Linked DNA regions of Nothobranchius furzeri. The protein of the gene in region 1 interacts with the protein of each later gene in a pairwise test. Links are inferred from orthologs where the notes say so. Each region holds a gene or a part of one and is shown on either strand. Other genes may lie near its edges.

The links. The genes of interacting proteins can lie anywhere in the genome.
Region 2: the proteins of disc1 (region 1) and rtraf interact in a two-hybrid assay, tested with the Homo sapiens proteins (2 studies listed by BioGRID and IntAct). The link is inferred for Nothobranchius furzeri from reciprocal best matches to the Homo sapiens genes DISC1 and RTRAF.

Annotation. Positions count from the first base shown.
Region 1 is NC_091752.1:2,345,339-2,352,626, forward strand, and holds part of disc1 (disrupted in schizophrenia 1 protein), read left to right. Parts: intron 1-2,225; coding exon 2,226-2,280; intron 2,281-3,693; coding exon 3,694-3,796; intron 3,797-3,972; coding exon 3,973-4,161; intron 4,162-7,288. UniProt on the Homo sapiens protein: Involved in the regulation of multiple aspects of embryonic and adult neurogenesis. Required for neural progenitor proliferation in the ventrical/subventrical zone during embryonic brain development and in the adult dentate gyrus of the hippocampus.
Region 2 is NC_091754.1:55,849,956-55,857,343, forward strand, and holds rtraf (RNA transcription, translation and transport factor protein), read left to right. Parts: upstream 1-2,213; 5' UTR 2,214-2,335; coding exon 2,336-2,396; intron 2,397-2,806; coding exon 2,807-2,931; intron 2,932-3,093; coding exon 3,094-3,193; intron 3,194-3,411; coding exon 3,412-3,492; intron 3,493-3,578; coding exon 3,579-3,667; intron 3,668-3,751; coding exon 3,752-3,820; intron 3,821-5,138; coding exon 5,139-5,187; intron 5,188-5,266; coding exon 5,267-5,421; 3' UTR 5,422-5,660; downstream 5,661-7,388. Other genes in the region: histone deacetylase complex subunit SAP18, read left to right, coding at 857-966, 1,041-1,163, 1,261-1,417. UniProt on the Homo sapiens protein: RNA-binding protein involved in modulation of mRNA transcription by Polymerase II. Component of the tRNA-splicing ligase complex and is required for tRNA ligation.

The DNA.
Region 1 (7,288 bases):
GGTCACTCATGAGCGAGGACAGGAGAATACTCGAGACAGACAAAACAACGCTGACAACTCTTTAAATCTTCTGAATTAATAAATAAACTTTTGCTATTAATTTAAATCTCTTAAATTAAATATTAGTCTTTTGATTTAAAATAGACCAAGCCAGTTGGTGTATGAACTTCTATCGATTATATAAATATCCGTGTATATATATAATAATATATATATATATAATATATATATATATATATATATATATATATATATATATATGTGTATATAAAATATACGGTAAGTTTCATTTGCCAATTCGTTTGATCTTTCTCAGAATTTAGCAAAGCTGAATAGCAAACAGCGTTAAATTCTAGTTATGTAGATCAACTACGCTACAAAGGCAATGGACCGACAAACACTAAGACACAGACAGGGTTATATACACAGGGCTGGGCGATAGGAGATGAGGAGCAGGTGCGTGGGGAATTGGGAACAGGTGAAACTAATGAACTGAGGGAAGAAGCAGAAACAAGCAGGGGAGAAAACCATATCTAAATCCTAAACCAAAGCTACTAAAATATAGCCTGGCCTGCCAGACTCCTCCTCTGTTTAACTCTGCACAGAGAAAGAGTCTGGGAACTCTCCTATTCAAATAACCCCGCCCCCTGAGAATTCTAACCGAGCCAATCAGCGCTGAGTAGCGTACGTCACACACCTCAACGCCGACTTTGTCATAAACATGGTGACTGAAGTGGAGTTCGCTGCGGCCCGTTCCTCTGTTCTAAATGACTTGAACACGTCTTTAAAACCACAAGTAGAAGCGCTAAAAGCCTTTCTTCTAAACAAAGACGCTTGTGCTGTCGCCAGACTCCATTTTTGACTACAGCTAAAAAAACTACAGCGTCGCGGACGTCACACACGGCGGTGCTCAGTTTGTCATAAACAGCGAAGACGGCGGCGGAGTTCGCTGCGACTCTTTCCTCTGTTATAAATGACTCAGATGTCTTTAAAAACACAAGCAGAAACGCTAAAAGCATTTGTTCTAAAAAATAAAAGATCTTTGCGCCGTTGCCAGACGCTATTTTTTTACTACAATAAGAAGTCTACCGCATCGTGCGGTACAGTCGGGATTTCCGTCTTTTTTCTGATTGGTTACTTTTGAGCTGCCTAGTCCCGCCCCTCAAGTGCCTCTCTGCCTGTGAGAGAATTAAACAGAGGACGAGTCTGGCAGGCCAGGCTAACTAAAATAACCTGAACTTTAAACACTGTAGAACAAAGACTAAAGATAAATTAACTAAGGATAAATGAAGTGACTAAAGGGAAACCCGAAGAAGCTGGGGACCAAAAGGGGGGCATAGAAGATTAGGGGACACATGAGGGGAACCAGGAGGGGGCTGGGGACCACAGGGACACAGAACATGACACAAAAACCTTTTTTGGGTCGCCGGACGGTGTGGGGATGTTTAGAACGTATAACTGGCTTCACTGGTGGACATGAATGACCCCTTATAGACTCCAAGGCAGAGAGGAAAATGATCTCTGCCTGCCCTAAACAAAGTCTTGTTTATCCTTATCTGACGCCAAGGCAGCCTCTCAAGGCTGCTCAACACTCCCCCACGAAAGGAGGAATGCTGACAGATGCTGTGTCCCGACCGTTCCCCCCCCCCCCCCGCCTTCAGATTGTGACTTCTGCTTCGAGGTCAGCAACCTGCAGGAAACTCAATGTGCTCTCTGTCCCTCATCCCTCCCTCCCACCTGTTTGACTGCAGCTGACTGAGCGCCATAATGGCAGCTCCCGTTGGAGGATTCAGGATCCCGCCCAACCCCGCCTCCCCATCGGACTCTGACGTTTTGTAACTGTGATGTTCGTGCTTCTATGTTGAGGAGTTTTTTTTTGTATAATAGAGCTACTCCCCGCTGGGTCTAACTCTTTTATGCCTTTTTTTTTTACCTTACCCCAATTATCCTCATGCAACACCCTTTCCATCTAATGAAATGAGCGCCATTCTGGCTGCTCTCGTGACTGCCTGTACCTGTTTCTGTCTACATGTGCGTCTGTTTAACCTTGGTCAGGTTGTGTTTGCGGACTCAAGTTCCTATGCACTGGGTCGCTGGAGCGCTGGCAATAAAGCTTATTCTGATTCTGATTCTGATTTTCTCTTGCTTTTAAACAACTGTTTGATTGACTCTAATGAATTAATGATTATTTCTTCTGTTTTGAACATTTTCTGCCTGTTTTGCAGACTGCAGGAGGAGGAGCAGGTGTTAAACCTGTCCATCAAGGAAGCTACAGCTAAAGTAAGCCCCTGCTCCTCTCACCTGATTTGTTTCCTTAACCGCTCAGCCTCCTCGCTGCTTGCCCACAGTGACTGAATGTGTATGAAAGCCTAATAGTCAGAGCAGACAGTAAGTGCCACTGTCGGAGTGCTCAAAATGCAAACTAAATGTCAGTCTGCATTCTTGTGATCTTTTTTGATTTGACAAAGCAGTGATCTCTTCACCGCTGCGTGCTGGAGTCAGAAGCAGCAGGATGTGCCATTTTGAACAGCTTTTTTTTCCCAAGTGAAATAGGGATGTTAAAGATAAAGCTGTCAGATTTTTTCTTTTGAGTAGAGGAAGTACATAATAAAGTAAAAATAGAAGTCTGGTCAGTATGGTGTGTTTTTGTTTACTCTCATTTGCTCCACAGGGATTGGACGTTCCCCTTTTATGCTAATAAAGCTTCTGCAGCTGGAAAAAAAAAGGCAAAAAAGTGTAAGAAATTGCAGTTTACAAACAGCAGGTATGAGAGGTCACGTGTCCTTTAGAAACCCATCATCAAACCACCGGTTTGCTGCACTTCAAAGCAACGTTCGCACTTCCACCAGTCGCAAGAGTTTCCATTGTTATGTTAGGAATGAAAAGTTTGGTTCTTAAATGAAATACCCACCATGTGGAAAACGGCACACTTGCTGTGACGGAACGATTCCCGGCATGAAAGTGACTCTCATTCTCTCCGCTTTTGCAAAATTGACAAAGCCTGATGTTTGGAAATGAAATCGTCGGTGTCAGAATTTCTACAGACGGCAGAAAGTGCTCCACAGAGCTTCTTGCATGAAGTCAAAAATTTCAAGCCTGTTTTGCTTTATTTCTGTGGGAGGAAAGAGAAAAAAAAGCCTCCCTGGAGATGTTCTGCCTGTGAAATACCAATCTATTTGACAACCATGTGCAGAACTGTGTCAGATTCCAGAAGAGGAATAAATGCATAAGAAGATCCACTTCTAGGTATCTTTGAGGTGTGAAAACAATTCTTCAAAAGAAACGAGGATTTTATGTGAATGCAGCTAAAAGTGTGTATGCTTAGGAGCAGAGTGGATGGATCGGATCTTTAAAAAAACTCCATAAATTCTGCTCTGAGCGGCAGCTTCTCATCCCAAAAACCTGCTCTGACTTTCTAATAGTCCATATATTATATGAAAATAAGCCTTTTGTGTCATCTCTAGAGGTTTTTGATGAGGAGAGATGATTCTCGGCTGTGCATTCAGAGCAGAACAGACGCTGAAATGCAGATAAACCTGTAAGGTCGTCAAAGAATGAGTTTCAGATAGAAAATGAAGGCAGACGAGGAAATGAGCAGTGCATCATGTGGGATCCATGCCTGTGCAAAGGTTTTGCTAGTTACCACCCTCCCCATCTCACTCCTCTGCATCTTCTTCTCCTCTTTATCCCCAGGTGGTCATGAGTCAGAGGCTGGGCAGCAGCCTGAGGAGAAAAGTCAGCGAGACCGACACGCAGCTTTTGGCGCTGCATGAAGCCAAACTGGCAGCCATCTCTGGTAACTTTCCACTGAGCTTTACCTCCAAAACCTCCCTGCTACATTACGCATCCTTTCATTTACCCCATTTGCTCGAATCGCTCACCATTAGCCTTGCTTGATTACCCCATTAATGCTCAAGAAGCTCATTAATAGGCGGTGAGAGTGTAATGCCCTCCTGTGGTGCACCGGCGCAGGTAATGACTTCAGCAGCGCCAAGGAGCTGAAGGCTGAGATGAAGGCGGTGTACCTGGAGCGGGACCGGCTGGAGGCTTTGGCCAAGAGGCTGCACAGCCTCAGCTCAGGGAGCAGCCAGGAGCTGGCCGGGATGAAGGAGCAGCGGCAGCAGCTCAGGCAGGAGCTGGAGCAGAGGGAGGCGCAGCACGGTGAGTCTCTGAGGCCTCCTGCAGGTAACAGGATGTTAATAAAATCAACAGCTCTTTCCTGTGATTCAACACTTCTATAGTGAAGAGCTCACCTGGTCATTAACTAGATGCCTGCAAACTGTTATGCTTTACTTTCCTTCCCAACTTAAACCAATACAAGGATGAAAACCTTTTATTAACAACAAACAAGCACCCAGAGAATTCCCTGCGGACTGCCTGAATGTTTTGATGTAAAAACACCACTACAACACCAACGCCGACAGATTATACGTGCTTACTTTGATTTAATGAGGTAAGCAGCAGTTGCTTGGCTAGAACGCTAAAAACCAGCCAATAAATCTAACATGATGTTTTTTCTAGTTTTAAGCAGTCTAGCCACGCAACCTTTTGTTTCTCCAATTGGCGGAATTTTTTTACCCAAAAATTATAAAATTAATAAAAAATATGAAGAATAACATGTCCATTTTTTTATTTTCACTTTCTTGTTGCACCACCAAAAAAAGGAGAATGACCAAACTTGTCGCTCTGTCAGCTCAAGCATCCCGCGTGGCTCCTCTAAACCCCCGCCGCTACTGCCTCCACGCTTATTTAAAACATTGGCAGTGATCTCTAGTTATACGTTTCGTGTCACACGCTGGAGAGAAAATCCTCCAGTGCACCTGTTTCGGGAACTAAAAGTGAGCCAAATCAAAGTTGAGCTTCAAATGATGATTTGGATTCTTACTTCCCGATATTTGGACACCTCGACGTAGACATGCGATTGGCTGACAGCAACGCCACTCCACCGCTGACCCCATTTGCTCTGCAACGTTGATGTTTTATCTCCACACATAAAACAAGCCTGGAGGAGTTCTGCTGTGTGGTGCTAATGCTAACGGTTAGCTTCTACTCGTCAAAATGTGCTCTGCTGTTTCCTGGATGCTGAACTGTCGCGAGTCGAGATCAAGGACAGTGTGACGTGAATCTGTCAGGCTTGACTAACTCTAGAGTTTCACCGTGTGTTTTCTGTTCGAAGGAAATGCAGGAAACAGGGATGGAATACTATTTTCACATTCAGAGTAACCGATCATTTAAAAAAACTATTTGTACCGTAATTTCCGGACTATAGAGCGCACCTCAATATAAGCCGCACCTGGCTTAAAGCCGCAGATATCTACTGGATAGAAGACGTAGTCTAACTGAACGTAACTGAACTGATCAGTATCAGACAAAACAGAAAAGTTACTGATTAGTTTGTTCATCGTCCTCCTGCGCTCTGAAACCACTGAAGTCATCTTCTTCTTCAGTGTCGGAGTTGAGCAGCCTCAGAAGAGCTTCGTCACGCACCTTTTCTGTGGCGATGTCCGTGTCATCATCCCGGGTGAAGCTGGGAAAACAAGCGGCGCCGTTTTACTGTGAAAAACCCCTCCTGGGTGCTTTCCGTAGCGCTCCTTTAACCATTCCTTCATTAGACTTTCCAGCATCCATCCTTTCTGGTGGACTAAAGCCGCACCTCATGGTAAGCCGCGTGGTTCAAAGCGTGGGGGAAAAGTAGCGGCTTATAGTCCGGAAAATAAGGTAATAAGGGTTAAGGAGAACCCTGAATGTGTCAAATAAAACAACCGATCCTGGGTCACTCAGGATGGAAACCCAACCCTCTCGCCATTATCACTCCACTGACCTGTTCTTTATATCTCCACAGCAAAGTTCTAGCAGATACACATGTTGACCACGTCATAAACACACGCCTCGTTGCAGATCTGCTGTTTGTTCAGATGCATTTCTAAAAGTGATCATTTATGCATCAGTTGTAGTAAATCAGTGGTTCCCAAACTTATTTAGCCGCGCACCCCCTTCTATGTCCCGACCATGTCGACGCACCCCCCCCCCCCCCCACACACACACACATCACGGCATGGCTATATATATATATATATATAGATAGATAGATAGATAGATAGATAGATAGATAGATAGATAGATAGATAGATAGATAGATAGATAGATAGATAGATAGATAGATAAATAGATAGATAGATATCAGACGTCAAGCTAAACAGACAGGGTTAAAAAAAATATGATCGACCTTTTTCCCCATCACTTTCATTTTTTAAATAGTAATTAATAAACATTCGATACCATTACAATTTCCTTTGATTTAATTTTAAATAAATATTTAGAGTGCCCAGGTAGCACATAAACAATGCAATTTAACGGTTTTCTTAAAGTAGGAACGTTTAATCTGTGCGGCCAGAGCGCTCTCCTTCCTTCTGCTCTGCGTAAACCTGAGCTGATCACCTACTTGTGCGTAATCAAATGTCTATAGGGGAAAAGCTTTAGCCATGAGGTTCACTTTTGCCTCAGACCGACTTATTGCTGTTTTATGGTGTGGCTGAATCTGCGATCCGCTGCCACGCGGACTGGAACAACATGCTGCAGGTTCGGAGTCACTGGCTGGAGCGGACCCGACTTTAATACATCATCCCAAAATAGAAGCTAATATCTTAATTTGACCTGGAATGAAAAATGTTGATATAAAACCTCTTAAAAGTTTTTATCACAGAGGAGGCAGCGCTCATTTCTGCCTTCAGTCTGACGGTATCAGTCTGGCGCGCCGGAGTTTGCGCAGCGTGCACTTATTGAATCTCTGTGTGTGTGTGTGTGTGTGTGTGTGCGCGCAGCACAGCTCCACGAAGCTTGGTTTATGCTTGACGCATTCACTTTCCGCTTGGTGATGCGTCTCGCGGAGGGAACGCGCTTCACAACTTGCAGCGTTTAAGTCACTGTGTCTCGTTATTGGCGCTATTTAAACCAACGTTGTAAAATGACTTCTGCCCAGCCCAGATGTGCTCACTTGTGCACCCGTGAGCCGTGGTTCCGGAACGCGTCTGACCTCTGACAGACGCACTCTAAACTTCAGATCTTCAGCGCGTGTGAGGTTTACAATGTCAGAACACCTGCATGAGACAGGTGTTAATTACAATCTGCCAGAATGACTCGCCACCTTCAGATTCCTCCAACACCGTTAAAATGATCAAATACGGAACATATCGGCGTGCGCAGGCCAGAGTGCTGAAGCTCGGCGCATTGTTATTATGAAGCTAGGGCACATGCGGAGGACACACACACACACACAAGTAAAATATAC
Region 2 (7,388 bases), on another chromosome or scaffold:
TTTCAGTATTGTAAATGAGTCGGTTTTCCCTGAACAGATAAACATGGTTACATTTGAAAGTTGAAAATAATACTTTTAAGCCTGCATTTTTATTGTTCTTAAGGCAGATAAATAAACTTAAAAAAAGCAAGTATTTTTATTTGTGCTTTTTAACGCGCAAGCACAAGAGTAATAAACAGCAGAAACACAAATAAAACTGTTAAATAAATAAACGAAGGTAGATGTAATTGTCTATTATTTACGTTTAGCAGGAGAAAAAGGGTTGACCATAAGAAAAAATAACGGATATTTGTGAATTATAAATTGATTTTATTTGCTGTAGACTTATACCTGCGAAAACAAATAAGTTTCTATTGGATAATTTACAATAATAAAGAATTGATATAAATAAATATTTTACAATAAGAAATGCTTAATAGAAAAGGGCAATCATATTTCAAATATAGTTTAAGATAACTTTTCTTATTCTGTAAAAAAATTGTAATTTCTGTTTTTGGGTTCAGCCTAATAAAAACATTTTTCCCACATGTGCATTAAAAGGTTGCAGAAAAGTTCACTAAATTTCTTAATCAGGAACCAGATGGCAATCTTAAAAAGCCATTTCTTTCTATCAGCTGTAGGTACTTATTACGGCCACCAGGGGGCAGCGAAGACTCACTTCGGAACTCACTTTGCCCTGATGAAAACTTTCAAAATAAGGTTTATGTAAAAAAAAAATCCAGTTGAATCATTGAAATAACACTGACATTTACATCAGTTATTCTAAATGTGTTCATATATTTAAATCACATGTAAAGAATGTGATATTTATTTGTACTTTTGCTTATGTTTAACTTAGTTTTCTTGTTTCCTTCAGACCTGCCCCCTCCTCCTGAGAGTATTTACTACCAACAGTGGCCGACACCACAGAATAGAGGAATTTTCTAGAGGGAACGTTCCTTCCAGCGAGTTGCAAATCTACACTTGGTAAGACTTACAAACCATTACGTTTCTGGTATATGCTACAGAACCTCTGAAACAAGTGTTTGTTTACATCACAGGATGGATGCTACTCTGAAGGAACTAACTGGTTTAGTGAAGGAAGTGTATCCAGAGGCCAGGAAAAAGGGGACCCACTTCAGCTTTGCCATAGTCTATCCAGAACCCAGAGGGAAAATGTACAAGTAAGTGTCGAGCAACACAGATCGGGGTCGTAAAATCATACTATTGTTCATGAATTCCTGTGGACTGAGTTTGTGCATCTCTTTTTACAATGTTCAGGTTAAAAGAGATCGGCAGTACCATGTCTGGCAGGAAGGGTTTGGAAGACTCCATGACGCTGCAGTCCCAGCGGTTCCAGATTGGAGACTATTTGGACATAGCCATCACACCGCCCAACAGAGCCCCGCCCCTCAACCAACGCATGAGGCCCTTCTGAACGCACATGAAGCGATACATCTGTTTTTGGGTTCTCTTGAGTAGTTTAGCCTCATTTTATAATTCTTCATGTTTAATAAAGCTGTTTTTTCCCTATAGACTGTTGTTGAGTAGTTAATATCAATAATGTGTGTTTGTGAAGAGTTAATTTGCAAAAACAGACCAGTTTTGATCAAACATACCAAACTCACTTGAATGATAATCCTTAATTTAAAAAGTTTTTTTTTTTTTTTTTTTTGCAAATTTGTATAGAGACTTCTCTGTTTCGTTATATAAACTATGTATTTAAGTTAAGGTGCCATCTCCACATTTGACCCATCGCCATAGGGATGGGTGAGCTGTAATTATGGCTGTGCTCAGGAACCAGTTGGTGGTTTAACCCCCAATCCAACCATTTTAAAGTTGAGTGTCAAGCAAGGAGGCATTGGGTCCCATTCTTAAAGTCTTTGGTGTGACACGACTGGGATTTGAACCCCGAATTCCAGACAGGGCGGACACACTACCACTAGACCACTGAGCTGGTATTAAGTCATTTTAAAGAAAAAGATAGACCACGGATAACGTTATTTCAAGCTCTTTGGTGTCTACAAGCTTAAAGTAATGGACGTATGCTTCAACAAACTCAAATGTGGGTATTTGAAAAAGAGACAATGGCAAAGGTCCCCTTTTTCCTGGCCTCTCCATACACTTCCTTTACTAAACCAGTTCGTTCCTTCAGAGTAGCATCCATCCTGTGACGTAATAAGACACTTGTTTCAGATGTGAATTCGTTGTTAGCTCTTATTTTGGAAAGCACAACCGGAAATACTCAACTCCGACAACGCATGCGCGCTGCCGCACACTGAGCTAGCAACGTAGTGGTCATTTAAGGTTTAATTATTTAGAAACAACGAAGGGTTTCACATTAAAACTTCGTGAAATGTTTCGCAGAAAACTAACAGCTCTAGATTATCACGATCCCAGCGGGTTCGACTGCTCAGGTAAGCAATAAACAGGCTGTTTAGGAGGTTCGGTGAGTTTTAATGGAACCAAGTTAGCACGAAGTCCTGAGGCGGCGAACTAAACGCTACAAATAGACTATTTTAAGGTTGTGCTCAGTTTTAGTAGCACACGTGTTTTATCAGCTTTAATATCTTCATAAATCAATCAAAAACACACCACATGTGTATTCGGCATTAATATTTGTAAGATAGCTTCATTTCTAGGGATGTATTTTGCTAGTCTAGCAGACTAAACGATGACCGTGTGTCTCATTGGGCTATATTTATCAGTTAAACAGCTGGACTCCTTTGCTTCACTAATTATCAGAGTGTATAACAGCAGATGGTGATTAAAAAAATTATGTGTTTTCATAAAACCAGTAAAATAGTGACGCATCCGCTTTTGTCAGATGAAACTCACTTCAGAAACTGCATCGTGTGGCTGGAGGACCAGAAGATCCGACACTACAAGATCGAAGACCGGGGCAACCTTAGGAACATCCCCAGCTCTGAGTGGCCCAAAGCCTATGAGAAGGTGAGACTATCTCAGAGCTTATCTCCTAACAAGAGTCCCAACTAGAGCTTACGTGTGTGTGTGTGTGTGTGTGTGCGCGTGTGCGTGCGTGTGTGTGTGTGTGTGTGTGTGTGTGTGTGTGTGTGTGTGTGTGTGTGTGTGTGTGTGTGTGTGTGTGTGTAGTACCTGCAGGACCTGACCTGTCCATTTGGAGTCCAGGAGCGTAAGGAGGCTTTGGACTGGTTACTGGGGCTGGCTGTGCGTTATGAATATGGAGACAACGGTATCTGATGTGATCGTTTATCTGTAAAAACCTCCTAAAATGATATTTATTCAGAAATCACAGCTTTGATGTGGCGTGTCAATGGTTGAAATACCGACCACGACCAATAGAGGGGGCCATAACAAAGGAAATAATGCCAACACGCATAGAAAGCTGAATTATAATTAGGTTATTATATGATGGCGTTTTTTCCTTATTCTGGGTGTTTTGTTTTGTAGTTGATAAGTATAAAAACTGCCCGCCGCTGGCCGCTTCGGGGAACGGCGACAGAGCCGTGGATCCTCTCATCAACCTGGACAGTAAGCAGGAACACATCTTTGCTGTTACTACCTTTTAACGTTTCATTCATCACCTAAAGGTCTAATAAAAAATAAATACATTTCAGGCAGTTCTCCAGATTTTAAAGCAGGAGTCACCGCTCTGGCGAACATTCTAAAGATCCAACGACACGACGATTACCTGGTCATGCTCAAGGTGAGCTGTATGCGTGTCTACATCATCCCTGAATGTGCTCAAGTTGTTTACTTTGTGACGTTTCCTAATGTTTTCACTCGGCAGGCTATCCGCATCCTGATCCAGGAGAGACTTTCACCAGAGGCCATCACAAAAGCCAACCAGAACAGAGAGGTACACGTTACACTGTAAAACAGCAACAAACTAGTCAATTAAACAGAAATGGTAGAATTAGCTAAAATGGTCAAGAAAATGACCTTATTAGTCTTGAAGATAACGTTAAACATTTTTCTGTGTTTCTGTGAACAGTTAGTATCTTACCAGCTGTAGGGAGTTCTTTGAATGGCCTCAGTTTGGAGAAAGAGTTTGCAATTTTTAAAACGCTCTAGTTAAAAATATATCAGTTATTAAATAATAATAATAATAATTTACTAGGGTTGTCAGAAAATATTGATATGGCAATATATCGTGATATTTTTTTCAGTGATATATCGATTTTCAAAAGTGGTGTATCGAAAATATCGATATCGCAATATATTGCGGTATAGTTTTCTGCGATATATCGATATTCAAAAGCAGTGTATCTAATTTTTGGAAGAATTTACATACAAACATTTGTGTATTTTCATTTCTTTTGGTGCAATTCAAACGCCGATCACTAGTTGGCAGCAGTGTGCCAGTGGGTTTTGTTTCCACCGTTGAAATGCAAATCCCTCCATTATGGTTCAGATACCTCATGTTAAACATGTTAGTATCGGTTTGGATTGTTTGTTGAATTTCACTATGATAAATTCAGTCTAAAAAAAGTCGTTAATATCGAATGTATCGCAATATATCGTGATGTATTGTATCGTCTTCCCTGTATCATGATGTGTATCGTATCGCCGTAATTTCACCAATACACACCCCTATTATTTACACACATGGTGCTTCTGGCTGGCTTTTCATAATATTTCTGCTTAAACAGTTGTCCTCAATTCTTTTCAGTGATGTCAAGGTACGTGTTGAATATGGCTTCTACTTACGTGGACTCTCAAGCCGCCCCGCCTCACTAATTGAGAACCACTGTGCTAGATTAACTACAAAACATGACATTTATGACAGTATTAATTGTAAAAAAGTATTTGCATGATTTAGAGATTGTAGTTATTTTAAGACATTTTATAATTAGCCTCATTTTGACTAGCTGCTAGCTTGTCACAATTAGCTAATCTCCATTTCTCTAAACTGAGGGTTTTCAAAGGCCTTTCCACAACAACTAGACGACATTTAACCAGAAACACTCTTCAGAAGTCCTGAGCTGTTCTATGATTTTTTTTGAGTGTACACACTATAAAAATGTCACGTGAAGTCTTTATTTATTTATTTTCTTAGCCCATGTTGTTTCATTTAAATCGATGATCAGTAAATCTGAAAGAAAACATTTTGTTCTGGATCACCTTCAGCTTGTGATTCTGATCTTTAAGCTTCATACTTTCTCTTTTGTCCCCAGGGAGTCCCGGTGGCTTTAGACAAACACGTTTTGGGTTTTGACACTGGAGGTGAGTTTTTGTGTTTGGCTACCACAACACCCATCGGTGTAGAAGAGAAAAACTGACCTCCGTGGTTCTCCGACCTCAGATGCGACCCTGAACGAGGCGGCCCAGATCCTGCGCCTGCTGCACATCGAGGAGCTACGAGAGCTGCAGACAAAGATCAACGAGGCCATCGTCGCCGTTCAGGCCATCATAGCCGACCCAAAGACGGACCACAGGCTGGGCAAGGTCGGCAGATGAGGAGGAAGCAAAGGACTGATGGAGATTTTATTTTTATTTAATTTTGAGAACAAAGGCCCTTCTTGTTTGCTGGGATGGTTAAAGGGACATAAATGATTCTGTTGTTGCATCAGTTTTAAACATCCAGGGTCAGATGTTCATTTACCGCTTGTTGTTCAGCAGGAAGCGGTGAGGTGGATACTGTTGAGCTGGTGTTTTTCTCCACAGCGGGAATAAAACGATTATTTTGAGTCGGTAAATATTAATTTTGCTTATTTACTTTGTGCCAGACTTAATCGACTTCCTGATTCTGGGGTTTCTGTGATTGGTTTTATTCTGGATGGAAAAAAGAATTTGGTTCAGGAGTTTGACTTTGACTGTGTCAAGAGATACCTTCTAACTCGACTGTCCTCGTGGACAAAAATGTCTCCTTTAGGAAAGTTTTCTCATCGGACCAGACTGGGCTGTTTAAAACGATCCAAGACTGAACCAGTTGTTAAGCATGGTGGTGGCAACATCCTGATTTGGTGCTGATGCCTTCTACAAAGTAGACAGGCCCCCAAACTCTTCAAATTTTTCTGAAATCATCCGCTTTATGGTTGAAACACTAGAATGTTTCGGAACATTGATAGTCCTAAGATTTCATTTGGACCCTGAACAGATTCAAGACTCTGGTCCAGATGCAGCAGAGCAGAACCGAGCTTGTGTTTGTGATCATAGAGATGAGGCGTTTGCCAAAAAGCTCCAATTTGATCTCATCCGTCTAAAACTCCATGGTGTCCTCGGTTGTCTTTCATGTCCAAAAAGAGAAAGGTGCTTTCATCTAACAATGATAAACCTTAATATTAGAGTTGTCCTCTAACCACTCTGGAAACTGCTGGACTCTGGTTGTCGCTCATATTATCATGTCTTATTCATTAATTATCTTCACGTGTCCCCATCCACAGTCTCAAGAACATTAAACTTCTGAATAATGTCCAACTGCAATTAAAGGAAGAGCAAATGTCTTAGAGGTGGTCCTCTTGTCCAGCTGTTCCAAAACTTTATAGCTTCAAATCCAAAAATGGTCATTTTTCAAGACGTGACCCCAGATAACTCAACAATTCTCAACGGGGTTAAGGTCTGGACTCTGTGGTGGCCAATCCATATGTGGAAACGATGTCTCATGGTCCCTGAACCACTCTTTCACTATCTGAGCCCGATGAATCCTGGCATTGTCATCTTGGAATATGCCCGTGCCGTCAGGGAAGATGGAATAACCTGGTCATTCAAGAGGCCTGTATTTGATATGGTGACTTCTAGAGTCCTGGAACCCCCCAAGGCGCTTCACAACACAACCAGTCGTTCACCCATTCACACGCTGGTGGTGATGAGCTACGATGTAGCCACAGCTGCCCTGGGGTGCACTGACTGAGGCGAGGCTGCCGAGCACTGGTGCCACCGGTCCCTCCGACCACCACCAGCAGGCAACGTGGGTTAAGTGTCTTGCCCAAGGACACATTGACAGCGACAGACTGAGCGGGGCTCGAACCTGCAACCTTCCGATTACGGGGCGAGCACTTAACTCCTGTGCCACCATCGCCCACAGCTGGCAGCTGACCTCATTCTTGGAGCACATCCTGTTGCTGAACCTAGACCTGACACACTGCAGCCACCACAGATCATGACACTGCCCCCACAGGCTTACAGTAGGCATGATGGGTGCATCACTTCATCTGCCTCTCTTCTTACCCTGATGCACCATCACTCTGGAACAGGGTCCATCTGGACTCATCAGACCAGTTTTTAATAACTTAAACCAGTTTTAGTCGTTTCTACATCCTGAGATGTTTCCTCTGCTTGAGGCTAGTGAAATGACCCTTCTCACACAGTCTAACGTCTTTTCCACGACAATCAAAATAACTCGTTCTTTGAACATCTTAGGTGTGTTCTTGCTGTGTCTTTCTAATTCCATGCTTTCGTTCTTTTTAAACACAGAAACAGTTTTG